Coturnix japonica: one gene and its partners. The protein of the gene in region 6 purifies or fractionates together with the protein of the main gene of each other region. This does not show direct contact. Links are inferred from orthologs where the notes say so. Each region holds a gene or a part of one and is shown on either strand. Other genes may lie near its edges.

What was found.
Region 1: the proteins of CUL4A (region 6) and SNRNP40 purify together in Homo sapiens (affinity purification with western blotting; 3 studies listed by BioGRID, with this or other methods). This does not show direct contact. The link is inferred for Coturnix japonica from reciprocal best matches to the Homo sapiens genes CUL4A and SNRNP40.
Region 2: the proteins of CUL4A (region 6) and COPS7A purify together in Homo sapiens (affinity purification with mass spectrometry; 8 studies listed by BioGRID and IntAct, with this or other methods). This does not show direct contact. The link is inferred for Coturnix japonica from reciprocal best matches to the Homo sapiens genes CUL4A and COPS7A.
Region 3: the proteins of CUL4A (region 6) and DCAF7 purify together in Homo sapiens (affinity purification with western blotting; 4 studies listed by BioGRID and IntAct, with this or other methods). This does not show direct contact. The link is inferred for Coturnix japonica from reciprocal best matches to the Homo sapiens genes CUL4A and DCAF7.
Region 4: the proteins of CUL4A (region 6) and RBBP4 purify together in Homo sapiens (affinity purification with western blotting; 3 studies listed by BioGRID, with this or other methods). This does not show direct contact. The link is inferred for Coturnix japonica from reciprocal best matches to the Homo sapiens genes CUL4A and RBBP4.
Region 5: the proteins of CUL4A (region 6) and LATS1 purify together in Homo sapiens (affinity purification with western blotting; 3 studies listed by BioGRID). This does not show direct contact. The link is inferred for Coturnix japonica from reciprocal best matches to the Homo sapiens genes CUL4A and LATS1.
Region 7: the proteins of CUL4A (region 6) and FBXW5 purify together in Homo sapiens (affinity purification with western blotting; 5 studies listed by BioGRID, with this or other methods). This does not show direct contact. The link is inferred for Coturnix japonica from reciprocal best matches to the Homo sapiens genes CUL4A and FBXW5.

What each region holds. Positions count from the first base shown.
Region 1 is NC_029538.1:606,576-610,614, forward strand, and holds the start of SNRNP40 (U5 small nuclear ribonucleoprotein 40 kDa protein), read right to left. Parts: upstream 2,801-4,039; 5' UTR 2,748-2,800; coding exon 2,514-2,747; intron 1,803-2,513; coding exon 1,673-1,802; intron 1,368-1,672; coding exon 1,274-1,367; intron 258-1,273; coding exon 92-257; intron 1-91. Other genes in the region: ZCCHC17 (nucleolar protein of 40 kDa), read left to right, coding at 3,237-3,278, 3,544-3,601. UniProt on the Homo sapiens protein: Required for pre-mRNA splicing as component of the activated spliceosome. Component of the U5 small nuclear ribonucleoprotein (snRNP) complex and the U4/U6-U5 tri-snRNP complex, building blocks of the spliceosome.
Region 2 is NC_029516.1:69,466,888-69,470,977, reverse strand, and holds the start of COPS7A (COP9 signalosome complex subunit 7a), read right to left. Parts: upstream 2,801-4,090; 5' UTR 2,704-2,800; coding exon 2,542-2,703; intron 2,438-2,541; coding exon 2,362-2,437; intron 1,959-2,361; coding exon 1,870-1,958; intron 1,795-1,869; coding exon 1,592-1,794; intron 1,127-1,591; coding exon 1,021-1,126; intron 724-1,020; coding exon 572-723; intron 297-571; coding exon 257-296; 3' UTR 239-256; exon of another isoform or gene 1-238.
Region 3 is NC_029542.1:2,165,924-2,169,423, forward strand, and holds part of DCAF7 (DDB1- and CUL4-associated factor 7), read left to right. Parts: intron 1-469; coding exon 470-679; intron 680-1,255; coding exon 1,256-1,373; intron 1,374-1,747; coding exon 1,748-1,920; 3' UTR 1,921-3,500. UniProt on the Homo sapiens protein: Involved in craniofacial development. Acts upstream of the EDN1 pathway and is required for formation of the upper jaw equivalent, the palatoquadrate. The activity required for EDN1 pathway function differs between the first and second arches.
Region 4 is NC_029538.1:4,591,595-4,595,465, reverse strand, and holds the end of RBBP4 (histone-binding protein RBBP4), read right to left. Parts: intron 2,842-3,871; coding exon 2,765-2,841; intron 2,661-2,764; coding exon 2,603-2,660; intron 2,493-2,602; coding exon 2,382-2,492; intron 1,468-2,381; coding exon 1,402-1,467; 3' UTR 501-1,401; downstream 1-500. UniProt on the Homo sapiens protein: Core histone-binding subunit that may target chromatin assembly factors, chromatin remodeling factors and histone deacetylases to their histone substrates in a manner that is regulated by nucleosomal DNA.
Region 5 is NC_029518.1:43,382,646-43,386,145, reverse strand, and holds part of LATS1 (serine/threonine-protein kinase LATS1), read left to right. Parts: coding exon 1-32; intron 33-2,880; coding exon 2,881-3,031; intron 3,032-3,500. UniProt on the Homo sapiens protein: Negative regulator of YAP1 in the Hippo signaling pathway that plays a pivotal role in organ size control and tumor suppression by restricting proliferation and promoting apoptosis.
Region 6 is NC_029516.1:123,900,109-123,904,272, reverse strand, and holds the start of CUL4A (cullin-4A), read left to right. Parts: upstream 1-1,364; 5' UTR 1,365-1,419; coding exon 1,420-1,594; intron 1,595-1,936; coding exon 1,937-2,052; intron 2,053-4,164. UniProt on the Homo sapiens protein: Core component of multiple cullin-RING-based E3 ubiquitin-protein ligase complexes which mediate the ubiquitination of target proteins. As a scaffold protein may contribute to catalysis through positioning of the substrate and the ubiquitin-conjugating enzyme.
Region 7 is NC_029532.1:185,961-188,919, reverse strand, and holds the end of FBXW5 (F-box/WD repeat-containing protein 5), read right to left. Parts: intron 2,430-2,959; coding exon 2,183-2,429; 3' UTR 501-2,182; downstream 1-500. UniProt on the Homo sapiens protein: Substrate recognition component of both SCF (SKP1-CUL1-F-box protein) and DCX (DDB1-CUL4-X-box) E3 ubiquitin-protein ligase complexes.

The DNA of each region.
Region 1 (4,039 bases), on a different chromosome or scaffold from region 6:
TCCAATCAGGAATTCCCAGATTTTAAAGAAAAATATGAGGGAACAAGGCAATTGAATAAAAGATTTCAGTAACTAATCTCCTTATACTGACCTTCACTGTCCCATCATCACTGCCCGTACAGACAAGCTGAGGTCCTCGCCTTGCTGGGTAGCAGGAATTCACGAACGAGGTATGGCCCTTCAGCCTCTTTACTCTCTCTCCAGTCTCACTGTCCCACACAGCCACAGTCTTGTCTGTGGATGCTGAGAAGAGCATGCTGTGGAGAAGAATCACTGTGAGATTCTCAATGTCAGAAGCTTTTCTCCCACCCTATTTTCTTACTCTCCAGACTTGATGTCAAAGCTTGAAATATTGTCAGCGCGCCACTGAATCAGACATTCATTCTGGTTGAAAAGATCATGTCCTGTAACTTGTCACCTGAAAACTGACATCCTTCTTGCTACAGCCACCTTTCTTGATACAGCTGCTGAGGGAAACTAAATTGTTTTGACTGGAGGAAAGGTGGCTGGCAGGATATCTCACTGCTCTCTACAACTGCCCAGATCCTTTCCCACACGTCACCCTTCCAGCCACTCTCCCTGAGCCTATACCACTGCATGGGGTTGTTGTGATCCAAGTGCAGTACCCAGCACTTAGCTTTGTTGAACGTCACATAACTGGACTCAGACCATCAACTCAGCCTACCCAGATCTATCTGCAACACTCCGGCCCAACTTGGTGTCACCTGCTGGTTTCATGGTGGTGCAGATCTGATGAAGATCTGATAAAGATATTAAATGAAATTGGCCCCAGTACTATTAAGAACTATGCCCAACATGCAAAGACAACTGTGATCTTTCACAGCAGGCTGATTGGCAGCAGAACAAATACAGAGGAGGTGCTTTCACCAAACCCCATTTCTATATAAAATTACAGATAGGATTTCTGACTCTTCAGACACAGTCTGTGATGGGAAGAGAGAAAGAAAAGTCTAGCAACCTCCTGGTACAGATGCATGCGTGTTTTCTTTCCCTTGTTAAGCAACTACAGTTCCTACATCATCAACATGAGCACTCAGATTTCTGAAGACTGAAGCCAAAGGTATTTATATGTCACAAGTGGCTCCAGAGCCAATGCTCAGCTCCTAATCTGGAACAGTAGAAGTGTTTGTTGCAAGGGCTGCTGGCTGGGCTGGGGCAATGAAGAGGTGCTGTGCAGGGCTCTGGCCAGCAGAAAACATCTTCCCTTAGAAACAGTGGGGAATGGGCAGGAATTTACCAGCGTACCCCTTACCTGCCATCCGTGTTATAGTGCAGCTCCATGACCGCCCCGCTGTGTCCCTTCAGGGTGGCGTAGTTATCACAGTCCCCATAGACATTCCATAGCACTAGAGAAACAGCACAGAGGAAAGTGGACAATATAATACATCTAATTCAGGCTGAGAGATCCACAGCCCGGAGAAGGCTGTAGGGGGGTGTGATAGCTGCCTTTCAGTATCTAAAGGGAAGCTATGAGGGGAGGTGTGATAGCAGCCTAAAGGGAAGCTATGAGAAAGAAGGGACAGATGTTCCAGCAGGATCTGCTGTGACTGCACAAAGGAAAGTGGTTTCAAACCAAAAGATGGGAGGTTTTAATGGGATATAAGACAATGATTTTTAAATTAGGGGTGGTGAAGCCTGGCCTGCTACTCACGGATCAGCCTGTCAAAGCCAGCAGACGCCAAGGTGTTTCCTCCAGGGTGGAACTTGCAGCAATACACCTCTCCCTCGTGCCCCGACAGCAACATGATGGGCGCCTGCAGCGAGGAGCAGCGCGGGGGACCCTGCGGGAGAACAAGGGGAGGTGAGGGGGATCCGGAGCAGGGGCACAAGGAGAATCACAGAATGACCCGGGTTGGAAGGGACCTCAAGGATCATGTAGTTCCAACCCCCCTGCCTAGCAGGGCCACCAAACATACACCTTTACTAGATCAGGTTGCCCAGGAGACCCCATAGATCCCCATAGAGACCCCATAGACCCCCCATAGATCAGGTTGCCCATGGCCCCGTCCAACCTGGCCTTGAACACCTCCAAGGACGGGGCATCCACAACCTCCCTGTGCAGCCTGTTCCAGGGCCTAACCACTCTCCTAGTGAAGAACTTCCCCCTAACATCCAACCTAAATCTTCCCTCTTTTAACTTAAAACCATTTCCCCGTGTCCTGCTATTATCAGCCCTTTCCAAGAGTTTACTCCCCTCCTGGGTGTAAGTTCCCTTCAGGTATTGAAAGGCTGCAATGAGGTCACCCCGCAACCTTCTCTTCTCCAGGCTGAACAAACCCAACTCCCTCAGCCTGTCCTCATAGTGGAGGTGCTCCAGCCCCCTGATCATTTTCCTGTTCCTCCTCTGGACCCTTTCCAAAATCTCCATGTCTTTCTTGTACTGAGGGCTCCACACCTGGACACGGTACAACAGATGGGGCCTCACAAGAGCCGAGTAGAGAGGGACAAAAGAGAAGGTCCCCTCCGTTCCCGTCCCCCCTCACAGGCCTCACCGACTGCACCAAAGCACCGGCCGGGGGCTGCCCGCCGCCTCCGCCCCCTCCTCCAGCCGCAGGTGGGTCATGGCGAGGCCGCTTGGCCGCCGAGGGCACGAGCGGGAGATCGGGACCCGGAGCGGGGCCGGGTGCAGCGCCGGGAGCGGGGCCGGGGCCGGGAGCTGGAGCTGGACCCGGTGCGGGGCCTGGCACGGGGCCGCCCGGCGCCTTTCGCTTCTGCTGCTCGATCATCGCCACGGGCCGCGCGCGCCCGCCTGCCCCCCCATTGGCCAACAGCGCGGCCTTCTGCAGAGCTGATTGGACGAGCGCTTCCAGATGTCCCACCCTCCTCTCTTCTTCCTTCCGTCGCATAGAGATGACGTATAAACCGCGCTTGATCGCGGCGCGCTCCTCACACGGATTGGCCGGGCTGAGGCCGGAGAGGTCAAGGGGTGGGCACTAGATAACATGAGTCACTTCGATTGGCTGCGCTTGTCTCCCGCCAGTATCGCGCGCGTTGATTGGCGGGCTGAAGACTCCCCTCAGGTGAGGGCGGTGCGGAGGAGGCCTAATGGCGGCTGTGAGCGTAGAGTGAAGCGAGTTAGAGATGTTTTGTAGCGGGTCCGTCTGATCTCCATATGGTTTTCTTCCTTTAAGGCATCTTTAGGTCTCATGCTGTAGTTGGAGGCGGCTGGCAGATGTCGTAGGCCCCGCAGCGCGTCACCCCCCGGCGCTGAGGCGATGGAGCCGCTGCCTGAGCTGTACGCCATCTTCCAGGGCGAGGTGTGTGCACTGTGTGTATATCACATATATATGTATATATATGTATGTATATATGGCACCGTGTGTATATCGGCCTCTATAGGATGCCTGTCTGCAGAGCACAGCAGCAGCTGGCCCCATATGATATAGTTATATTGGCTCCAACCTGCTGAGGTGCCCGGAGTTGTAGCAAATCACACGAATAATCTGGATGTTGTGTGTGTTCTATAGTGAGAATAAATGTTTAAAGGCTTTCGATTAAATGCTGTGTTGGTTTTCTTCACAGGTGGCTGCTGTGACGGAATATGGGGCGTTTATTAAAATCCCGGGCTGCAGGAAGCAAGGTTTGTTGCTGTGGTTTCATTTGGACTTGGTTACATGTTGGTGTTGAACAGTGAAGCAGGAAACTTAAAGGTAGTTTAGAGAAACAAGTAAAGGAAACTTAAAGGTAACAAGTAAAAGAAACAAGGGGCCTAGGAGAGCAGGGAGGTTGCAGATAAGGAGTGAGACCTCACAGACGACCAGAAGAGGAGTTGCATTCCCCCTGATAAGAACAAGAGGGGGTCTGTATGCTAAAGAGCTATTGAATATGGATCAGAATTCCTAGAACTACTGACTATGTATTAGAAGTTTAAGAAATCATTGAATATGTATCAGAATTCTGAGAAATCATTGACTATGTATTAAATGTACCTATATCTGTGTCACGATTTTACAAGTCGGTGTGCAAGTTTGGTGGAGCTATCCCCCTTGCACCCGGTGCTGCGCAATGCTGGAATAAA
Region 2 (4,090 bases), about 54 Mb from region 6:
TGATGGAACCTTGAGGGGTAGGGGAAAACAGCAATGCATTCAACTGGAAGCTTAGAGTGTGAAATGTCATGATTAAAAGGTGGGAAGCACTGCCCAGAAAGGAAGTGAAGAAGACAGAAAAGAGTACATGCAGGAGAATTAGTTGGCAAGACAGATCTCAGAGATGAGCTCAGAAGCATCACACTTAGTAGATGGAGGGGTAGCAAGAGTCCCAAGTCTCTTCCTCTCACCCTCCCACCTGTGAAGGGAGATCCAACTAGTTTGATTTAGACCAAATCTTCGCACTGCCCCGGAGCCTGCGGAGAGAGGAAGAAGTTTTAGACTGGACACTAAACTTCATCTCTGACTTCCTTTTCTAAGCGTACACAGAGAACAGCTGGCATTCAGGGAAGGCTTATGAACTGTGCTTCAGATCAAGAGCTGCACCCCCTGAATTAGCCAGAGGTGGAGGTCAGCTTGGACCATTCCAGGCCTGGGGTGTAGACCCCTGCAGTGACCTCAGTGCTACAAAACAGAACTCCCCTCAACACACATTAGGCAGTGGCTACGTTTGTTTGCCACCATTCCTCACCCTTTGGCTTTGGAAGTCTTCTTGCTGGTCTGGCGCTGGTTGGTGCCAGGGGCAGGTTCCCTGAGCTCTGTGAGGTGCTGTTCTGGGTCTTGAGAGGTGGCTGCTGCAGCAGCTGCTGTTGTCACTTTAATTGTCTTCTTCAGATTCGCCACCTGCAACAGCAGTAAAACAAGAACCAAGGAATTTCTCAAGTTATTATCTTTTTTTCCTCCTCCCTTTTATTTTGTCCAGAGCTTTGCACTGCTGAGAAGTGCTTAAGTGACTCCCAATTCTTCCTCAAGCATAACTACCCCGGAGGGTTTCAGCCTAGGGTAATGCCTTAGCCCTATATAGTATATATACTATACTATAGCCCTCGAACAAGGGCTATAGTAACAACAGGGTATTGGTTCCACTCTTTCTTTAAGCAAGGGGTAATGCCTCCTCCTCTCCCTCTTCAGCCCACTCACCTCACTCTCTATCTGCTGCTTAAGTGCCAGCTGTTGTTCTTTGTGTTGGTTGGCTCGGCTAACCTGTTCTTCAATGCCAGACAAGACAACCTCGCAGCCCTGGCACCTGTAGAGAAAATGTTAAGCTGAACAGGACAGGTAATTGGTACTGCAGGGAAAGAAACATGAAGATGACTGGTTGAACTGTAAAGACCAATAAAACCTGGAAGGTAACAGCTACTCTAGGCAGGGTAGGCACAGGGGTGGCAGTCCAAAGCAATAATGTAGTGACATTATTACCTAGGAGGGAGACACATAACAAAGCGGCACTAGGTTAAGAGCTACAGATGTATACTCAGAAAGACTCTTGCCAGCAGCTGGAGCTGGATGCAAAAACTGCTGCTCCTTTCCTCACCCCTCCAATGTGGAAGAACGTTGGATAGTGGAAACTATTTTCCACTGCCATTTGGGAAAGGAGACAGAGGTCACTTTGCTACGCTGCCCCCCAGCAACACACAAAGGATGATCTGGTGAAGCCCCTGACCACTCCTGCAACCTTTGAAGGTGTTAGTATGGGCGGCTTCCTCCTCACCACTCCTGCAATGTGCGGGTGATGGTGCTTAGCTCCTCCCTCCGGATGTCCCTCCCAATGCTGTAATCCACCTCCAGGCGTTGGTTCCGCTGATCCAAGCTCCCTCGCAGCACATCTGCATACACCGCCTCGATCACGAGGTCCTCTAGCTGCCGGACGTTCTTCAGCTGTAACTGCTCCAGCAGCACCGAATAGGGGATGCACTGCAGAGACATGATGGTAACTAACACAAGGTAAACTCAGAAGAAGGAAAACTAGAGGTAAAATAGGGGCATTACCTTGATCTTTGCAGCCAGAGTGACGACCGACAGGTGCCTCAGTTTGTTCTTCTGAGCCTCTGTCAGGGGAGGGAGGTTTGCTGCTTCAGCTGTTGCCAAAGGGAAGGACGGGGCATTAGAATTTATACCTCATGTTCTATTTCCCAGTCCCGCAACGGAAGCATTTGCCCCAGTCCCATTTCTCAGAACTGCATCACAACGGCTCCCAAAGTGATGCTTTGTCTTAGCAGGCCGTCACCATTAATCCACAGCTCAAAGGACCTTCACTGAGCAGCCTCTCCTCCGTTTGAAGCCACCTCCCCAAGCTGTCCCACACCTTATTTATGGAGACCTCTACATCCCAATGAATCCCCCAGTCCTCCCCCCACCCCTCGCAAACACCATTGCCCAGATGTTTTTGGACCCCTCCATGGCCTCCTCGGCCTCACGCCCAAACCCAACCTCGCTCCCAGCTCTGCGGCTTAGGGCACGATTCCCCAAGCCCGACCTCACCCAGGTAGTCGGCGTAGGTGCCGTAGGCGAAGATGGTGAGCAGGTGGAAGACAGGAGAGAACTCGGAGTCGGCCAGCTGCGGGACAGAAGGCGAGTCAGGCCACACCGCGGCCCAGGCCCAGCCGCGGGCAGGGCAGGGCAGGGCACACGGCACAGGGCAGGGCACAGGGCAGGGCTCACCTCGCGTACGGCCGGCATATCCAGCAGCTCCCCGAAGACGTAGATACCCGGGGCCTCCAGCACCTGATGGATGAGGCTGGCGAGCGCGGCGCCGCGGGCGGCCTTGGCCAGCAGCAGGAACTGCTCCTGGCTCTGCCCCGTCACCTTCCCCTCGGCCGCCATCCCGCTGCCGGGCACTCGGCCCCGCCGCGCTGGCGTCCCGCAGGCCCCGGCCCCGCCACCGGGCGCCACCTCCAGCCCGCCCCGAGCCCTCTCCTCTATGGCGGCGCCGTCGCAGCCCGCCCGCTTCCGGGTGTGACGCCGGGCGGGCAGAGTTTGGGGCGCCCCCTGTCGGAGGAGGACTGCGCGGTGCAGCGGGCAGCTCACGGTCCTGGCCCGGGGTTGCCGTCCCGTCCCGGCCCCGCTGGGCTCCTCGGAGCTCGGGGCCGGGCTGGAGCTCGGTCTGTACGCTGAGGCTGCCGGCGTGAGGGGAGCGGCGCTGGGAGGGCCGAGGTGGAAGGCTGAGTTATAATGGTGGCGGCCCCGCCGCTCGGCTGGAGGTCACTCGCCGCTCACAGTATCGCTGTGGCTGGGGCTGTGGGGAAGGGCTGTGATAGATAGCGAGGCCTGCGGTGCTCCTTACGGCGGAATGAAGGAGGAGAAGGGCTGACAAGGTGAAGCAGGGCAGCATCAGTGCAAGGTACAACCACCACCTTCCTGCCTTCACCTCCCTGTCCGTGTGCTTCACCACGCCCTGACACCTGACGCACCCACCTACAGCGGGGCAGGTTGTGTTCTGACCAGGTCTAAGTGTAGCCCTGCTGCTCTGTAGCATGTCTTGCTCTCTCCCCCACCCCCTCACCAGCTCCTTCCATCTCAGTTTTATCTCCCTATCGATCTGTTTCTCTCACACTCTCTGACACGCTTGCTGCCTTTCATTATTAGTTCGATAAAGCGAAGCAGCCCGAGCATCCCAGCTGCAGCAGCCTCCCTCTGCACCGACCCCGGGTCTTGTGTGCTCTTTGCTGGGTCACCACAGTGTTTCTTCTCTTTTGTCCTGCACGGAGCTAAAATAAGGGCAAGGAATGAATCACTACCCGAGCTCCCTTAATGAGAAGGCCATCATCATCTCTGAATATGCAACCACTCGTGTGAGCGCACGGTGTCTTGCCCATAACTTAGCAAAGTCTTTGTTCATCCTTAGATGCAAAATCAAACTGGCTTGTCAAAACGCTGCCAATATTTTGATCTCTAGCCCTTCCCCAAACATAGTCCAGATCTGTGATGATTTTTCACAACTCTATGCCACAGAGTCCTGGGCAAAAAGCTTGTAAGGACGAGGGAGGATGGGGCAAATCTCTTTGCCAGACAACGTGATGGGGAAAGTTTTTAACCACGTAACTTGTACTAGGTTAACACACAGGGTGGTAAGACCTGTGCCTAGTTACATCTAGGGCAGCCTCACACCTATTGCTCACAAAGGAGTTTAAGAGGACGGTGCCTGCGCAGTAACTCTTATTCCCATGTACTCTCACAGCCCTCGGGAATTTGCAGATCAGGACAGACAGCC
Region 3 (3,500 bases), on a different chromosome or scaffold from region 6:
TTAATTATAGGTAAAATACAGTTTTAATGTATTACAAACTAATTAAAGCTGTTCTATCAGCTATCAGAACTACTCTGCTTACTTACCATAGAATCTGGACTTGAGAATATATTTGTTTTACAAGATTATGCTACAGAATATTTTTGGAAGAATCAAACTGGAATTGTAATCAATTGCGTATCAAAGGCAATAAACATCTTACAGGATTCTTTCATTTTAATGTAATATCTGAATCCAGAAAGTACCTATGTTCTGTTTCAGTGAATAATCCTGTAATTATACAACTTGTTTTTTCCTCTCCCTTTGGCTTAAGAACTTGCTAGGAAACTCAAGTATTTGACAAAAAGTATTACAGTAGTAGTAGTAACAATTTCTTCTGTCCATATAGGAAATGCATTTAGCTGTGGATTAGGAGGCAGGATGCTCACTAAAACCCGGGTTGTTTTTTTTCTGTTTTGGTGTTGAGCAGGTGTATGATATAGCATTTAGCCGTGCAGGTGGTGGGAGAGATATGTTCGCTTCGGTTGGTGCAGATGGCTCAGTGAGGATGTTTGATCTCCGTCATCTGGAACATAGCACCATAATTTATGAAGACCCACAACACCATCCATTGCTGCGTCTCTGCTGGAATAAGCAGGATCCCAACTATCTTGCCACAATGGCCATGGATGGCATGGAGGTAAGGCGGTAGTTCTGCAGAAGGAACAAGGCAATTTGAGGGAGGTGGTTTGGTCATTTACACTTAGTTCTTAAAGTGAAGGTGCAGTAAGTGGAGCATGAGAAAGGCCAATTCTTGTTGCAGTAATTTCAGTAGGAGCTAGAGGTAAGTTTGGCATTATAAATGTGAAGGTCTCTGTGCCCCCCTCTATATTTCAGTCAATTTATGAGGGTTCCATGAGCCAGTTGGGCAGCAGCTCTCACATAAAACAGTAAGTGTGAGTATTTTAGTCACCTTGTTCTTTCTCAGCTCTTTGCACCAGGCAGTGTACCGTAGATTTTTACCTGAACTGCTTCAGGGAAGCATGAGTCACTTTTTTTTTCATAACTCACAAGCGTCCTATGTGAGGTCTGACTACTTCTGAAATGCACACAACATGCTGACCAGCTAGAAACTGTTCTTTCAGAACAATGTGTGCTTGCCAAATGCATCCTTTTGGAAGGTATTTAAAGCCTTAGTTCAAAACTCTTTGCTCTCTGGATGGGATGAGAGATGGAAATACAAGTTATTAACTTAGCTTGATTTTTGTTTCTGAAGGTTGTGATTCTCGATGTCAGAGTTCCCTGCACTCCTGTTGCCAGGTTAAACAACCACAGAGCATGTGTAAATGGAATTGCTTGGGCACCTCATTCTTCCTGCCACATTTGTACAGCAGGTAAGCATGGAAAGAGATTCTTGGTCACGCTCTTACCGTCTCTGCTGGTGAGCCTGGTGCTCTAGCTGTGCATCTCCTTTGGCTAAGCTGTTTTATTTCAGTGCTGCTGAACTTATTTTGCAATTTAGTTCTGAAGTGTTTGCACTTTGAGTTCCACCAATTGTGTTTTTAACTTTGTCCTGGATGACATAATTATCCAAAGATGTGTACGAGTTCTACTTGGAGAGCAGTTCTATCATTGTATCTGTCTCACTTTCTTATCTGAACTGCAAGGTCTATATTCAAACTAGCTTTTTACTACACCCCTCTTAGTAGCCATGTATGGACATCTTGTTGTGCTTTGATCCCACTTAGGATTTCGTTTTCTTTTGCAGCGGATGACCATCAGGCTCTCATCTGGGACATCCAGCAAATGCCTCGTGCCATTGAGGACCCTATCTTGGCCTATACAGCAGAGGGAGAAATCAACAATGTACAGTGGGCATCAACTCAGCCAGACTGGATAGCTATCTGCTACAACAACTGCCTGGAAATTTTGAGAGTGTAACACTACTGCTTCATGCCTAATTGAGGCAGGGCTGTATAATTTCCCCACCCCTCTAAAGTAAGAACAACACAAGTCAAGTGGCCAGTATCTGTTGTTGCTTTGCATCTACTGTTCCAAGAAACTGTTACAAGAATCAATGGCAGGTGTCTCCTGTCTCTCCAAGACTCTAAAATGCAGAGACACGCTGAGCCTCTTGGACCTTTTGGGTTCTGGTTTTCTTTGTTTTTGTTTCCCTCAGTTAAAGTTCTGTATATTTGTTTGTTGACTGTGTTAATAAGCTTGCAGGCTTTAAGTTGCTGCGTATGTCCAAGTGTTTGTCAGCTAGCCAGGGCGGCACATCTACCTAGTTTAATAGATGCAAGTGCAAAACAAGGTGGGGAAAAAGATGGTAATGTTAACAGCCACCTTGGCAGGAATCTTTATCATTCCTGTTGTTGCTGCCTCTAAACTGTTTAAACATTTGTATGTTTTTTATATATTGGGCTAACTTTCTATTGAGTAAGGCTTTTCTCCCGAATTCTTACTTTTGATATGTGATCCACTTCCATATACCTAAAGCAGGATATCTTTGTTGATACAAATCACAAAACAACACTGCAGGCTCCCTGGCAGTAAAGGCCTGCCAGAACTAACTGTTGCCTTGGCTCTCAATACCTGGTTACTTGGTGCTGTGAAGTACAAGTACTTGTTGCACAATTTCTTTACACTTCTCTGATGCTAGAGGCAGCTGCTACTATGGCAGGCCTTATTTTTAAATAAGAACTGCATTTACTGTGTGTCTCCTGCAGTTGTGGTAGCTAACAGAACGGTAATGGGTTTCAGACGGAAGGTATTTGCATGACTTGAGCTCCCTCTGAGGGAAATGACTTAAGAAAAAAAATGCTATTTGTAATAATGGACTCTGGATTGACGTTTCCAATGAAATGATTTCCCCTTAGAGGGCTTACGATCTGAACCAAAATAAAATGGTTTCACACTTTGTAGCTTGCTTGATTAGCAGATAACACGAGCAAGATCTTGTGGTTAACCAGTGCCATGGAGCTTCTTTGCATTTGTTCTGTGTTCCTGGGAGTTCTTGAAAGGAGGACCCTTTTTTTCCTAAACATGTTTGCTTTGTACTGTCGGGTCTTGTTGAATGAATGAGATGAGGTGGAAGAACTCATCCACCATCCAAATGAAAGCTGTTTCTCTGAAAGAAATAATTCCCTAATGTAATGCTCAGAAGACAGATTTCAAGTGAAAGAAACAGTGCCGCAGAGGCTATAGTTCGGTGCTTGTCATCCTTGTGGTTATTTGAGATGCATCCAAGGGCATCTGTTTCTGTTTTGAATAGTGGAATGCTTTACAGTAATACACTGCAATCAAAGCTGAGTGGATTAGACAAGATAAAAATCTGTACTGAAGTCTTAATATAGCACAGGTATTGAGATAAAAGCTCCACAGTGCTCTTCTTCCAATGAAGACATGACAGCTGTAGCTGGTCCATGGGGGTATAGCAGCTGAGTTTTGATGGAAATGTCAGAAACGATCAGCGCTGTCTTTCTACCTGATGTATATTCACCTGCAACTGCAGGCAGCAT
Region 4 (3,871 bases), on a different chromosome or scaffold from region 6:
GAAGGACCGTGATGGGGCTGAATGCTGCTGTTTGCCTCCAGAAGTGTTTCCTGCAGTGCCTGCTGTATTGCCATTCGCTCCCACGGCCACAGAAACTGAAGCCTGTGGATAAAAGGTTTCCCACTTTATAGTCTCACACTGAAAATAAAGGTCAGTTGAAGGATCTTTTTATTTCTCAAAGCCGTGTGTCAAAGAAAAATAAGCTTGTGTGTCAAATGGGGGCTGGGGAGGCACCCAAACGTTCACGCTTAATAAAATACAGAGAACAAACAAACAGCCACTGCTGTTCTGTGAGGGCTGGAGGCAGACCCAGGATGGAGGAGACCCAGGATGGAGGAAGGCACCAAGCCCACTGCATCCAACAGCAAAGCATGCAGCAGCACCCAACCCCTCACAGCACAGACTCCTCTTTCTCCTCCCCCTCTCTGCTTCCTCAAAGGCGATGGCTCACCCTCATGGAAACATCTAATGCAGAAGGAAAACACCGGCACAAAATCACATACGTAGAAAAAATTTATTCCATCTGAAGCACTTACACAGTTAGTGATGAGGAACATGAGGAATGGGCAGCTGGTGCAGTGCTGCAGGTGACTGGGCTGTGCCAGCCGTGGCGCGTGGCTGGGAAATGCTGACACCTTCACTACGCTGTGGCCCCAGAGTTTTTAAAACCATTTCACAGAAAGAAAGGTGTGAAAACACAGCTCAAGAAACACACAATAGAACAAGATGCATGAACGGGAGTGAGTGCAGGAATAGCTGCTGTACCCAAAGCACTGCCACGCAGGGGATGGAAGGGAAGAACTGAAAAACCCAGGGTTAGCAGTAAAGACAAAAGGAAGTATAGGAAAAAATACAACTCAGAACCTGCAGGTCGCTTTATGTATCTGCGGAGGCAGACAGCTGCACAGGCAGATATTAACTGAGGGAAGCCCGAAGCTTCTGAGCTGTACTGAAGAGGACGAGACCCTCCCCCCTCATTTCTGATCCACAGCTGGATTAACCCTGCACCATCTCCACTGCATCAAGAATTCTCTGGCAGTTCTGATTTAACTTCTGTTTAAATTAGGCAGGAGCCCGCAGCCATAACAAGCTAAAGACAGAAAAACAGCAACAAAACAGTTTGCTCTGCATGAGGAAGGCAGCTAAAATGGACTGGGCTGGCTCTGCACACAGGAGGTTGCTGTGGGAAATGTGACTGAGGAGCTGCAGCACAGCACTGGCTGAGCTGGACTAGAAGCCCTTTGTTCGGGGGGCACTGCCTGGGGTAAAAAGCACCGCTGATGGTTCTACAGAAAGATGGCTGAACACAAAGTCTACGTGTGTCTCAAAACCAGTGTTAAGTCAGTATCAGGGCTGAGAGGGAAGAGAAGGAAAAGGACTAGAAACAGGAAGGATCGTCATCTAAGATCCTTGGCCTTCGGGATCCACGCTTCCTTCTGGGTCTTCATCATTGTATATGTTCTCTGCCTGCAAGTCAAAGCACAGGAGCTGTAGAAGCACCTCCCATCACGTTTAACAGGACACCACAGCGTTTCAAAACGTCATGGTAGATTTTCATCTGCAGATGTTTGTCACCAAACCCCCGGGGCTTTTCAACACGGGCTGCCTTGCTTTGAAGTAGTGATGGACACCCAGAAGTACTCTGATACTGCAGCTTACGGGCATGCGACTTCTTAAAGCAGCGACCACAGCAGGGCTTGTTTTAATTGAGACTACTGTGCATACATTTAATAGATCCTTCACTTCGCAGCATCACTTGTCCTAAGCACTATACAGATATGCTGCCAAGACAAAGCCTCCGTGAACCAAACCATAAATAAACCAAAATTAGAAGCATGGTCTTTTCAAAGGTTATTTGAGCTGTTAGGGATCGTTCTCCAGAACTTTCAGCAGCTGGAAATTAAACCAGCACTCTTCTATTCACCACCACACTGCCCCAATGCAGCCACAGGGGACATCTGTGTCACACACAGAGAACTCACCCAGTATGACAGCAACTAAGAGAAACCTCAACTTCACGTTTGCAGTTGCTGTGGCTGGTGGTGGCTGGATGGAGTTTTGCTGCTTGTTTATGAGCTGATTTCTGTTTGGTTGGCTGGTGTTTTGTCTTCTTTTTTTATTTAACCTAGTTTTCATTCAAACATAGATGGGAAAATGTCCCTTCTACTCCACACACCACTACTTGGAGAAACACAAAACAGCTCCTCAGGATTTGTAAGCCAATTTCTACCCAATCTAAAACACATTTCACTGCCCAATCGAGATTTAGGCAGTGCTACAAAGCAAATCCTTCTGGGACCTGTAAATAAAACCTGGAATGCTGACGTTCAGGCAGTTCAATGCTGTGTCTTATCTACCACTTCCTGCAGTTCCCAACTTACCATTTGCCAGACTTGCATGATATTGTCTTCTGATACAGAACAGATAACCCAGGGCTCATTGGGATTCCAGGAGAAGTCAGATATCTTTGCAGTGTGACCGCCATGAATAAACTAGGAGCGAAGGAAATAAAAGAAGGGTGGAGGGGCAGTAATACTTTCAAATCCACATTGCAGAGATGAGTAAATTGGACCAAACAATTAATGAGGCTCAGAGTTCTTACCAACAGCTCTGGGGGACCATCCTCAGCATCCTCGGGGGACTGCTCCTCTCCAATTTTACTTTAAAAAAACAGTAATAATAATTGTGGGTTTGGTTGTTGCTGCTTGTGATGCAACTCATCAACATTATTTCACTGGTACAACCCAACTGATCTGGGATTTACCTCAGGTCCCAGACGTTCAGCCGGCGGTCAGTGCCACTGGAGGCCAATATAGTTTCATTGTGGGGAGACCACTGAACCTACAGACAGGAATGAATTTAGAAATGAAGTTAGTCTGAAGAGCCCGTAACACAGCACACTTTGCAACATACAGCGACATAAAGTGACAGCTTTATGAAAGCTCAAATCGTTATCACCTTGAAACAGAAACATTCCCAATAACAACATCCTAAGGATGCAAGTAGTTCTGTGTAAGCCCGTGTGCTAACAAAGCATCTGAGCACCAAAAATGGCTCACGTGCAGCCTCTCCTCTAACAGAGACCACAGAGAACAAACAGCCCTGAAGATTATTAGGGCTCCTCCAAGAGAACTGCACAAATGTAAACTCTGGATGCCTGAAATGGTAGGTATGGCTTACACATGAAAAGAAATCGCTGTAATTAAAGCTTAACTGCCCCAAAGCTCTCATTTACCATGACTGCTGGAGATAAATCTCTCCAAAACAGACCACTTAATAGGATCACAGGATTAGAAAATAAGACAATTCTTCACATTAGCCTGACATTTCAAGATTCTGAGCATGACTGCATTTAGAATTAACCAGCTTTTACGAAGCAATCCTTCGACAAAAAAAACCCTTCCACATATTTTTGTTCTGACTACTGCATGAGCTGGAGATGGAAATATTCTATCTGCTAAGCACATGCTACCAGTGATGTTCACTTTCTATATTTACACCAGCAAAAATCAGCTATTCTTTTTTGACACAGGATGGTCCAGCAATCCCTTTTTTAGGGGCTGACACCTCAAGGCTTCCTGCAGGACCAAGCTGGGAAGATGAAAACACTGCGGCCATTCCACTGTGCTTTGCTGCTTCAAATCTGCTGCCATGAATAATTCACATGTGCTGTGTACTGCTAGTATTTCACCCCTAACACTGGATGAAGCTCTCAGCCATTCCCTTGTTACCTTCGGCCCCAGCTTTCTGGACACTCTTATCTGCGCTGGAATTCTCCCCCACACAGAAAGCTCCACAACAATAAACCAGAAAATTATAAGCAGATGAGAGACAGGAATGAGGTTTTTAAGCACAAGTACACTTCACAAAC
Region 5 (3,500 bases), on a different chromosome or scaffold from region 6:
TGCAAGACTTACAAGCTGCTGGCTTTGATGAGGTGAAGTATTTAATGTTCAGGCTTTAGTGTTCTAAAAACTGTCAGAGTGTGTTGGATGAGGTGTTGGTCATGGAATGTTTAAACAGCATATGATGGGCAAAATAGCTTTGAAATCTGGCAGAGTTCTAATTAGAACTTAATGAAGCTGGGATGAAGAAGGGGAACAGATTTAAAGAGGCATTTTTCATTTTTTTGCACCATTTTCAGTGTGTTCTTACATGGTAGGGGTTGTTTTAATTCTGTAAATCGTTTTAGAGAGAGGTGGACACTTCAGAACATGGATTTTGCCTTTGATACTCAACAGGATTTTAAATTGTGCACAACTAAAATACGCTGATAGTATGGCCATCCTAAAGTGATAGGCAATAGCACGTATTTCAGGAACAAATTTTAATGGCCTTCTCACATCTGTTATTAGAAAGCCAGTGAGGGAAAAATGTTCTGTGATGCTTTGGTATTCACAGGGAGGTTAGGTTAAGGGGAGCGAATATCTCCAAAGCTACGGACAACATTTCTCTGTAGTTAATCAGCACTTGAAAGGGATACTGGAAGAATTTCATGCAAAAAGTTGTCTGTTGACATAAATAGCCTCTGCATCAGTACCGTACACTAGGCACGCTCCCAAAACATCTAAAGTATTCACAGACAAAGTCTGATTTGGAATGAGGTTGGTGATTTCCATTCGGTCTTTGGTTGGATCGTTGCTTAGCCAGGCACTTACTACAGACTGGTTAATGGTGCTGTGGGAAAGATAGGCAGTACTTCTTCCTCCTAAAAGAAAATAGGGAAGACAGGCAGATCAGTTTATAAAGAAGGGGAACATTTCTCCACTGTTTACAATTAGAAGTTACAAACAATCAAGCAGTCCTTATGAGTGTGAAATGTAACTATTAAGTCAGTATCGTATCATCAACTAAAATCCCACACAACACGAAGGGATCTGGTTTCATTCAGGAACAGTTCTCCAGCCGTGACTTTGAAGTTTACAAGAAGGTAAATTCATAATTCTACTATCATGGCCTCAAGTTGCGCCAGGGCAAGTTTAGGTTGGATATTAGGAAGAACTTCTTTACAGAAAGGGTGGTTAGGTACTGGAATAGGCTCCCCAGAGAGGTGGTTGAATCGCCATCCCTGGATGTGTTTAAGAGCCGTTTGGATGTGGTACTCGGGGATATGATTTAGTGGAAGGTTTTTAGAGTTAGGGTACTGGTTAGGCTGCGGTTGGACTTGATGATCTTTTCCAACCTGGGTAATTCTGTCAATTGGCATTTCCTCAGTAATGTCCCAGAATCAGGTGCTGCTTGTGGAAAAAAATGCACTTTCCTCCGGCTTGCCCAAATGCAAAGATTAAGCTGGATTTGCAGTAAGAATGGAAGGGTTTTATAATGACAAATGATTTTATAATGATTTGTTCCTTATCTGTGGTTTGCTGCTGGAGTGGTTTTGGTTTTTACAATAGATTAGCTCTCGTATCCATTTTTACAGAATGGGTCTCCAGTCAGTTTCACAAGCTGTGGGATGGTTTGTGGCTGGATAGTAAACTAGAAAACCATCTCAAGTTGGTATTTCTGTTGGAGCCTTTGTGTCTTGAAGCCTTTTGCTCTCCAACCTTTTGTTCTTGGATGCAATCAAGTTGAAATGTTGCAGGTGTAAGTGTCTCATGAAGAAGCTGTGAGATCAAATGTTGTAACTTCTTGATCTAGCAATGTACACCTGATCTGTAAGCATCAGGGCTATCTTGTTTTATATATATATATGTGTGTGTGTGTGTGTATGTATACTTTTCTGTTTTGTTCATTTTGTTATCATTTCTGAAGGCTGCGTATTTTGTACATTTGCAGTGCCAAAAACATACAGATGTAATGGAAGTATAAATGTGGGTTTGAATTTGAAATTGATACTGACCTCCTCCCTTCTGAGCCCTCCTCCCTTCCGAGCCCTTTTGGATTTCCCATTGATTTCACTGGCAGATGAATCATAGAATGGCTTGGCCTGGGAGGGGACCATAAAGATCATCCAGTTCCAGCCCTCCTGCCATATACTGCTGTAATTTGGTGACTTGTTCGAAAATAATGTGAACTGAAATGATGGCTTTGGTATGACAAAGTATGGCCATAACAGATCACTGGAAGGCAGAGCGGTTAATTAAAGGGAGTCACTCTGTATATTTTTTTCACATTCTAAGTCAACTGCAAAATACCATTCAATAAAAATGGGAGAGGAGTGCCTGACTGTTTCGATCGCCTGTTTCTTGACCTCAGTCTCATTCAAGTCCAGAGAAACACCGCGGATCTATGATGCATTTTCCATTGACAAACCTGGGATTGCTCATCTGATCAAAGCTTTTCTTTGGATCTCTTGAGGACGCAGCAAATCCCCACCACAAAAGTAACAGGATTTCTGATGATACTGTGATATTTACTAGTGAAAAATACTTGAGGAGAAGCTAAAGGATATTTGTTGATATTCCAGGTTGAAGAAAAATGAGCAAATGCCAAAATACTGAAACACATCTGAATATCTTTTATAGAATAAATTAAGTTAGGTGGGAGCTCTAGCTGTTATCTGAGTAATGCATATAGCAAATAAATACCTAGACAGACAAACTATAAGAATAGCATGGTGACACAGTTAATATCAGAATATAGTTGTTTTTTCAGAAGATGCAGGCTGTTAATTTCTTTGGAGGATCTGTTGTGGAGAAAACATTGTCATCTTATATTTAAGATGATCGAGAGAAGTCATTATGTACTTTTGTAAAATTACTGGAGGATATTTGGCTAAATTCTTGTGATTTTTATTATTCTTGCCATTTTGAGTAACTTTTTGTATTTAATTTTCCCTGTAGGATATGGTTATACAAGCCCTCAGACAAACTAACAACCGTAGTATAGAAGCAGCCATCGAATTTATTAGTAAAATGAGCTACCAGGATCCTCGTCGGGAGCAGATGGTTGCAGCTGCAGCAAGACCTGTAAATGCAGGTATGAAACCACCAGGTAGGTGCATCTGTGGCACTTCAACTCATTAACTGTGTTCTTACTGGTGAAAAATACAAAATAGCAAATTAGAACCTAGCACTCTCTGTCGTGTGCTCAGAGTAGAAGAGAGGAGGTGCTGAGATACAGGATTTTGCTTTGAAGATTATTTGTGAAGTGTATAATAGAATTCTTCTGAAACATGAGTGTCTTTGGTGTGAATTTAAGACTTGTTTTTAAAATATCTGATTGCTTTTAGCATTTTGTCTAAGTATTAGAAGCATGGAATCACCAAGGTTGGAAAAGATCTCCAAGATCATCCAGTCCACCCATCACCAATATTTCCTTCTAACCTGTGTCCCTCAGTACAATGCCTAAACAATATCCTTGTATATCCTTTTGCAAGGCCAGGTTGGACGGGGCCCTGGGCAATCTGGGCAATCTGATCTAGTAAATGTGTGTGTTTGGTGGCCCTGCCAGGCAGGGGGGT
Region 6 (4,164 bases):
TCGCTGTGAGGAAGGCCGGGCCGGGGCTGCCCCCGTTGTCTCCGTGCTCCTGCTCGCACCTCCCCCACCGCCCCCAACCCAAACACTGACTAACCTCCCCGCCATGGCGCGGCGCACAGCGGCACTTCCGGCACTCGCCGTGTACTTCCCGTAGTCACCGGAGCCGTTTGGGGGCGTGGTCTATTTCGAGGCAGCCAATGGAAAAGAGCGGTGGGCGGGGCCAGAGCGCGCGTTAGGTATAAAAGCACGTGCATCGGTGTGTGTGGTACGTCAGTGGGCGGAGCGGCGGGAGGAGGGAGCAGAGGGACTAGCGTGCTGGTCGTACCGGGGTCCGGTGTCAGCTTGTGCTTACCACAGAATGACCCGGGTTGGAAGGGACCTCAAGGATCATGTAGTTCCAACCCCCCTGCCTGGCAGGGCCACCAAACATACACATTTACTAGATCAGGTTGCCCAGGGCCCCGTCCAACCTGGTCTTGAACACCTCCAAGGACGGGGCATCCACAACCTCCCTGGGCAGCCTGTTCCAGGGCCTAACCACTCTCCTAGTGAAGAACTTCCCCCTAACATCCAACCTAAATCTTCCCTCTTTCAACTTAAAACCATTTCCCCGTGTCCCGCTATTGTCAGCCCTTTCGAAGAGTTTACTCCCCTCCTGGGAGTAAGTTCCCTTCAGGTATTGAAAGGCTGTAATGAGGTCACCCCGCAACCTTCTCTTCTCCAGGCTGAACAAACCCAACTCCCTCAGCCTGTCCTCATAGGGGAGGTGCTCCAGCCCCTGATCATTTTTGTGGCCCTCCTCTGGACCCTTTCCAAAATCTCCATGTCTTTTTTGTACTGAGGGCTCCACACCTGGACACAGTACTCCAGATGGGGCCTCACAAGAGCCGAGTAGAGAGGGACGATCACCTCCCTATCCCTGCTGACCACCCCTCTCTTGATGGAGCCCAGGATCCCATTTGCTTTCCGGGCTGCCAGAGCGCACTGCTGGCTCATGTTGAGTTTTTCATCCATCAGGACCCCCAGGTCTTTCTCTGCCGAGCAAGACCTTATGGGAGCGGACCGTTGTGCTCCGGGGGCCGCAGTGCCTGCCTTGTGAAGAAGGGACGGCAGCTCCTTGGCAATCTGTTCCAAAAAGCTGAATAAAGTTCCCCACGGGTTGTCTGTAAGAGGCTCGCACCGAGAGTCCGCCGTAGCCGTCCGTCCCGGGAGCCATCTTGCGAGCGGGGACGCTCGGTGTGAAGCTGGCGGGAAGGGCTGGGCTGCCGCCCCGAGGTGGGGGAGGAAGGGAGGGAGGGAAGAAGGGCGGGCGGAGGAGGAGGAGGAGGAGGAGGAGGAGGAGGAGAGCGGAGGCGGGGACCGGGCGGTCCAGCCCAGCGCAGCGCCTTGCCCCGGCCGGACACGGCGCCCGGGGCGGAGATGGCGGACGAAGCCCAGAAGAAGCCGCACTTGTCGGCCCTGGTGGGGCACACCAACGGGCTCACCAAGCCCGCCTCGCTGGCCGCAGCCGCCACGCGTGGGGGAGGCGGCGGGGGCGGTTCGGCCGGTGCTGCCGCCGCCTCCTCCAAGAAACTCGTCATCAAGAACTTCAGAGGTGGGTGCGGGGCCGAGCGGCGGCAGGTGCCGGGCCCGGCCTCTCCGCACCTTTGTTTACCGCGGGGGCCGCTCCGCCTTACAGGGACGCGGAGAACCTGCCGCCGCTCCCTAACCGCATCCCGGGGTCTCGCGTGGGGCCGCGGGGTTGGGGTGGCCCCGCATTAGGATGGAGGAGGAGGAGGCCACGGGCCTGGACGCGCTCGGGCGCTGCCGTCTCGCGTGGGGTCGCGACCTGCCCCGTGGCCGTGCCCCGTGAGCGCCCCTGGGCTGAGCGGAGGAAGATGGCTGCGGGGAGCCCGAGCCTCGGGCCGCCTTCAGCCGCCTCCGTGTTCCCCCGCAGAAAGGCCCAAGCTGCCCGATAACTACACGCAGGACACCTGGCACAAACTTCACGAGGCGGTGGCAGCCATTCAGAGCAGCACTTCTATTAAGTACAACCTCGAGGAGCTCTACCAGGTAAGACCCGTACGGTGATGTTTTCTTTCGGTGTAATGTGGAAAATGGAGACTCGCAGGGCTTCAGATCAAGCAGAGATGTATTTTTGACTCGTTAAAGGCCAGTTATTATCTCCAGAACGCTCTGTGTTTCCAGACAGTTCACAGTGTTGTGCCTCAGCTTCTCGCTGCTCCTAGGAGAGTTCTCAAGGTCTGGGCCCATGAAGAAGCAATTTGTGTTGGAAGGTATTGAGAGCTGCACTTGGGCATCCAGCCACCCCAACACTCTGCCTGCTCCAGATCCTGAAATTAGGGTCTTGCTCTGTCTGGGCTTTGCAGTGTCTGTGTTTTACAATGGCTTTTTTGGTTCATGCTTTGGTGTTTGAGAGTAGCCAGCGTTAAAAGTATTTGTTACGATGCTGAGACTTCAGTGTCAGTGCTCTTTGGAGAATGAAGGCAAGAATCGCACTGCTCGTGTTGTTATAAAACATCACTGATGCTGTAAGTTGTGCCACGCGGCTGAAGTTAACAAGCAGGGTGAGTCTCAGAGCTGAAGTGACTTCTCTGTGTCATTAGATGGAGTGTAATGTGTGGCATCAGAACGGCTCGTTGTGTGAAGGCATATTGACCTAATATAACATACTGCCTTCAAGCTGGACTGATATATATGTGTCTGGTAATACTTATAGGTTTGCAGAATCTGATTTACATAATACATTTGATGGTTTTAAATAGAGCGTTTGAGAAATCCTGCATTTTCATGCCCAGCTAGAAAAACACAGATGCTTTGAATGTTACCTAACTTGTTTTCAGAGGCTCAGAAAAGAGATTATAGTAATATGGGTATGAAATTGCCGGGGCACGGACTTGAGCTTTGGCAGTAGAGGAGGAGGGAGATCTCAGATAAGCTGTAAAGAGAGAACTGTGCTTTTTGCTTATTCTGTTTGTAAAAATGTGCGTGTTGTAAGGACAGCCCAGCAGTCAGGAAGTCATTGGTGCAAATCAGCAAGATTCCTGTACGGTGGGTGGTGGCTGTGAACATGCCCATACATACATACATACATATTCCTTCTGCCAAAGGAATAAGAGGAAGTTCAGCATCTTTTGGAAAGCTGACCTGTATGTACAGGTCGCTGTAACTCTCGGTTGGTGAGCACAGAGCCATCCATGGGGAAAATATCAGTGTGTGTACTGCTTCTCTATGGCAGTGCTCCTTTATGTGCATCTCTATCTGGCACCATGACAGGAGAAGAGAGGCTGCTGGGGCTCAGTGCAGCAGGCAGTGGTACCCCAGCCTGCCTTGGAACTTCTTGATTGATGTATTTAATTTGGCACGGTGGCAGAGTTAAAAACAAGGCCTGGTGGGAAGCCCAAAGCATAGTCTTTCCCAAGCGGCAGTGGCCGCATGGGTTAAAGCACAAAGGTGCTTGGCAGAGGCAGTGAGCAATAGGAGGGTGGCAGCCAATTTTTGCTACTAAAATAGAAGTGATGTCTGGGATTGGTGGTAGATTGCCTGGATCTGGGTGGAAGTGGCTGATATTTGATGGGCTACAGAAAGTGGGGCAGTGCAAAGAACTGCCGAGTGAGGAGCGAGTGATAAAAATAATGGGAAAAGAGAATTCCCTTTGCAACAAGATCCTAAATAGCTTGAAATAGGGCAGCAGCTGCCCTTCTTGAGGGCACGGAATAGAACATTGTTGCAGTAAAGGGGGAAGAAAGTAAATGCTTTGAATCTGGACCAGACTTTTGTGTGGGTGGGTAGGAAAGGCTGTGTCTTAGAAAGCATAACCAAATATCTGACCAACAGTTGTGTGATCACTGTTTGTTTCAGAGGTCACCTCACGTAACCTGTTCTAAGACTGAAGTTAAAAACCAGCATAAACAACAAAGTAATCATGTAATGCCTGCTTGTTTCCATCTTGTGTGTTTTGGAAGATAAGCTCTTCAGGATATTAGAACTGATAGAGGAAACAGTACAAGCAGCAATAACTAGCTTACTAAACAGAGGACTCGGCTCAAAACAAGCCATTAAAGTGGTTATTTGAAACTTATACATGGCTTGTGTAGGTGAAGAGCCTACAGTGCTGTCTTTCTCATGTCATAATAGAAGAGATAATTATTATTACAGCTTTTT
Region 7 (2,959 bases), on a different chromosome or scaffold from region 6:
ACAGCAAAGTGGGTTTTTTTTCCCCCCTTTGTTCCTTGATTTCCCCCATCTGACCACAGCTACGAGGGAACACCCACCTCAGCCTGTCACTGTGAGGGAGCTTTTCCTTGAGGATGGTGTGTGGTGAAAAACTCTAATAAAAGCAGCGTGAGGAGCTGCTGTGCTGTGTAACTCACAGGCTCCATCACTGCATGGGGCTGAAGAGGCAGTGCCGGGCCAGGACAGCAGCAGGGCTGTGCTTGGTCTCCTGCTGCCACACTGCAGTCCTCACACTCTGCCCCATGCCCAGGGCTGGGGCTGTGCCCCTGTGGGGTGAGCTGCCCCCCAGCTCAGCTGCTTTCCTGCAGGCAGGGCAAGGAAGGACACCAAGGCAGCACTGCCCAGATCCCGTCCTGCAGCTTCTTCTGCAAGGGCTGCAGCACGTAGAGCAATATTGAACTTCTGGCTTCAGTTTTGCTTCTGTAGAAAAAATAGTACTAAGAAAAACAAACTTACATTGCCAAGATGCTTTAGCAGAGTATTTATTCAATGCCATGGTGAAGAGCAAAACTTGGTACAAACATAAACCCTCAGTGCCTTGCTCACTACTGCACCGCGCCAAGGGAGGCAAACAGGACTTGCTATCTTGGGGCAGGAGGGAAGATGTAGGAAGGTGGAGACTGTTCTGTTGCTGTGTGAGGGGACCAAGAGCTGGGTCTAGGATCTTGAGTGCACACCCATATACACACACACACACACACACAAAGGACTCCCTTGTTTCTAGAAGTCCTGTGATGACCGAAAACCTGAGTACAGGGGTTCTGGATAAAGCCATGGGCACCTGCTGGGTGCAAGAGAGAGCAAGAGAAGGGTGTGAAACCCTCTTGCTGAGGGCTGGAGGAGCTGTTAAAGCCATCAGTGCATATTAAGACAGCAGCCGCTGTCTCCATGAAGCCTGTTTGCAACCTGAGGCTGTGAGTGGCACAGACACCTGCCCTGCTGCTCCTGAGCTGGGGGGCCCAGAGCGTAGCAGCAGGTGCAGCCCCTGGGGTCACTGCTGGCCTGGGAGCTTCAGCTCCCCCTGTCTGGGCCAAGTGGAGATTAGGAGCTTAATTTTAGACTCTAACAGTTGGCTGAAGGCTGGAAAGAGAAAAGCTTCAGGGACAAATACAGAGTAAACAACACTGAGTTCATAAAGTGAGCCAGCTTCCCCCATCAGAGGAGCCCTCAGAGGGAGCTGATCACCAGCCCCCAGGTGAGTCAGCCCTGGTGGAAGGAGGTTTATTCACACTTATGGCTGCACCTCTGCCTGTTCACCTGCTCACAGAGAACATACCAAGAAAACCTAAAGTGCCACAACTCAAGTAGGGAGGGAGGTGACCATGAGACCCATCATCACAGTTTACCCCCTGGAAGGGACAGCAGAGCCCCTGGAATAAATATGTTACCGATGCCATAGCTTATTCAGGTGCTACAGAACAGGGGAAGACAAGGGCAAAGCCAGATCGGCGTTACCAGCAGCTCTCCCCATTCTCAGATTTGTAAACTGATGGTATCAGGATTTAGTTGTAAGAGAAGGCAATGGCAGGGCAGCCCTGCCCCTCCAGCTCTGCCCCAGCACTGCCTCCCCCGCTGCCTTTTCAGCCTCTGATCCTTCCTGCCATCCCTTTGTGGCCCAAACACTGTGTGGGGCGGCACTGGGCGCACCCAGCATCCAGACAAGTTGCCCATGGAGATTTGGGACAAACAAAACAATAATAAAACTACTATATTAAAAGAGACCCGCAGTAAGGCAGCACAGCACTGTACCACTGCTTGTGCAGGTGCTCTGTAGCCAGTAGCTCTCAGTGAAGTCAGCCACGTTCCAGGCCCACACAGTACAAACCCTGGAGACGCGCCTCAGTCTGTTCTCAGAGACCAAAGCTCACCCAGAGAGCTGTGACCAAGTAGCAGCGTTTGTGATAAGCTGTGGGGAGGTTACCCTGCAGTGACCACCGGACCCAGGAACTGGTCCTCAGCCCTTACATTCTGTCTTTGAAGCAGACACTCCAAGGAGGAAGCCATTACCACTGCCGAGGTCCCTCCAAACTCAGCTGACAGGATTGGTGTGCTCAGAGCTCGTCTCCGCTGTGCAGGGCTCAAAGCACCGCAAGCTCCAGAGGTGGCCGCAGTGAGGAAGCTGCAGGAGCAGTTATACCTGGGTTCAGCTTTTCTGGTTCATGAGCCAGGAGAAGAGCAGTTTCCTGGGCCTGGGCTTCCTGGCCTGCTGGATTCGCACGGTGCGAGGGGAGCGCCACACCTTGATGGTGGTGTCATCGCTGGCTGTCAGCAGCAGCTCCTGCTCCACTGGGCTGAAGGCCACCGAGTTGACAACGTTGTCGTGCTGCAGCTTGGCCAGGCAGATGTTATAGTGTCGGTCCCAGATGTAGCCATGGCGATCTTCTGCCCCGCTGCAGCAGACAAGACAGCAGTGAGGACACCGGCCAGGCAGGCTCTGCCTTCTGCACCCAGCGCCCTGACCCAGCCAGGAGCCCCAGCCTCCATCTGCAGTGCCATCACCCACAGACACCCACCCTAAGGGGGCAAACCCCCTTTGTGACCCAGGCCCTGCTACAAACACAAGTAGGTTTCCAGAACTGGAGTCTGAAATGAGGCCTCACAGCAGCATCAATTAAAGCTCTGGAAATGCAGCCAGACTCACGCTGTGGCACCTGCAGCAAACCAGCCCTGTTCTGGGCTGCAGTGAGCCTGCTCCAGCCACCCCAACTTGCCCTGTAACACCTGCAGCCTGCAGCCCTCAAGAAGGGCAACTGCCACCCACTGACAAACAAGCCACAGCCACACATTTCCTTTTTCCTTGCTGATTTCACAACAGGACCAGAATAGACATCCTGCAGCAGCACCCTCTGACTCCATCCCTGCTCCACACAAACCTCCTATTTCCTGCTCTGCTCACAGCAGCCTCCCGCTCTCGGACCAG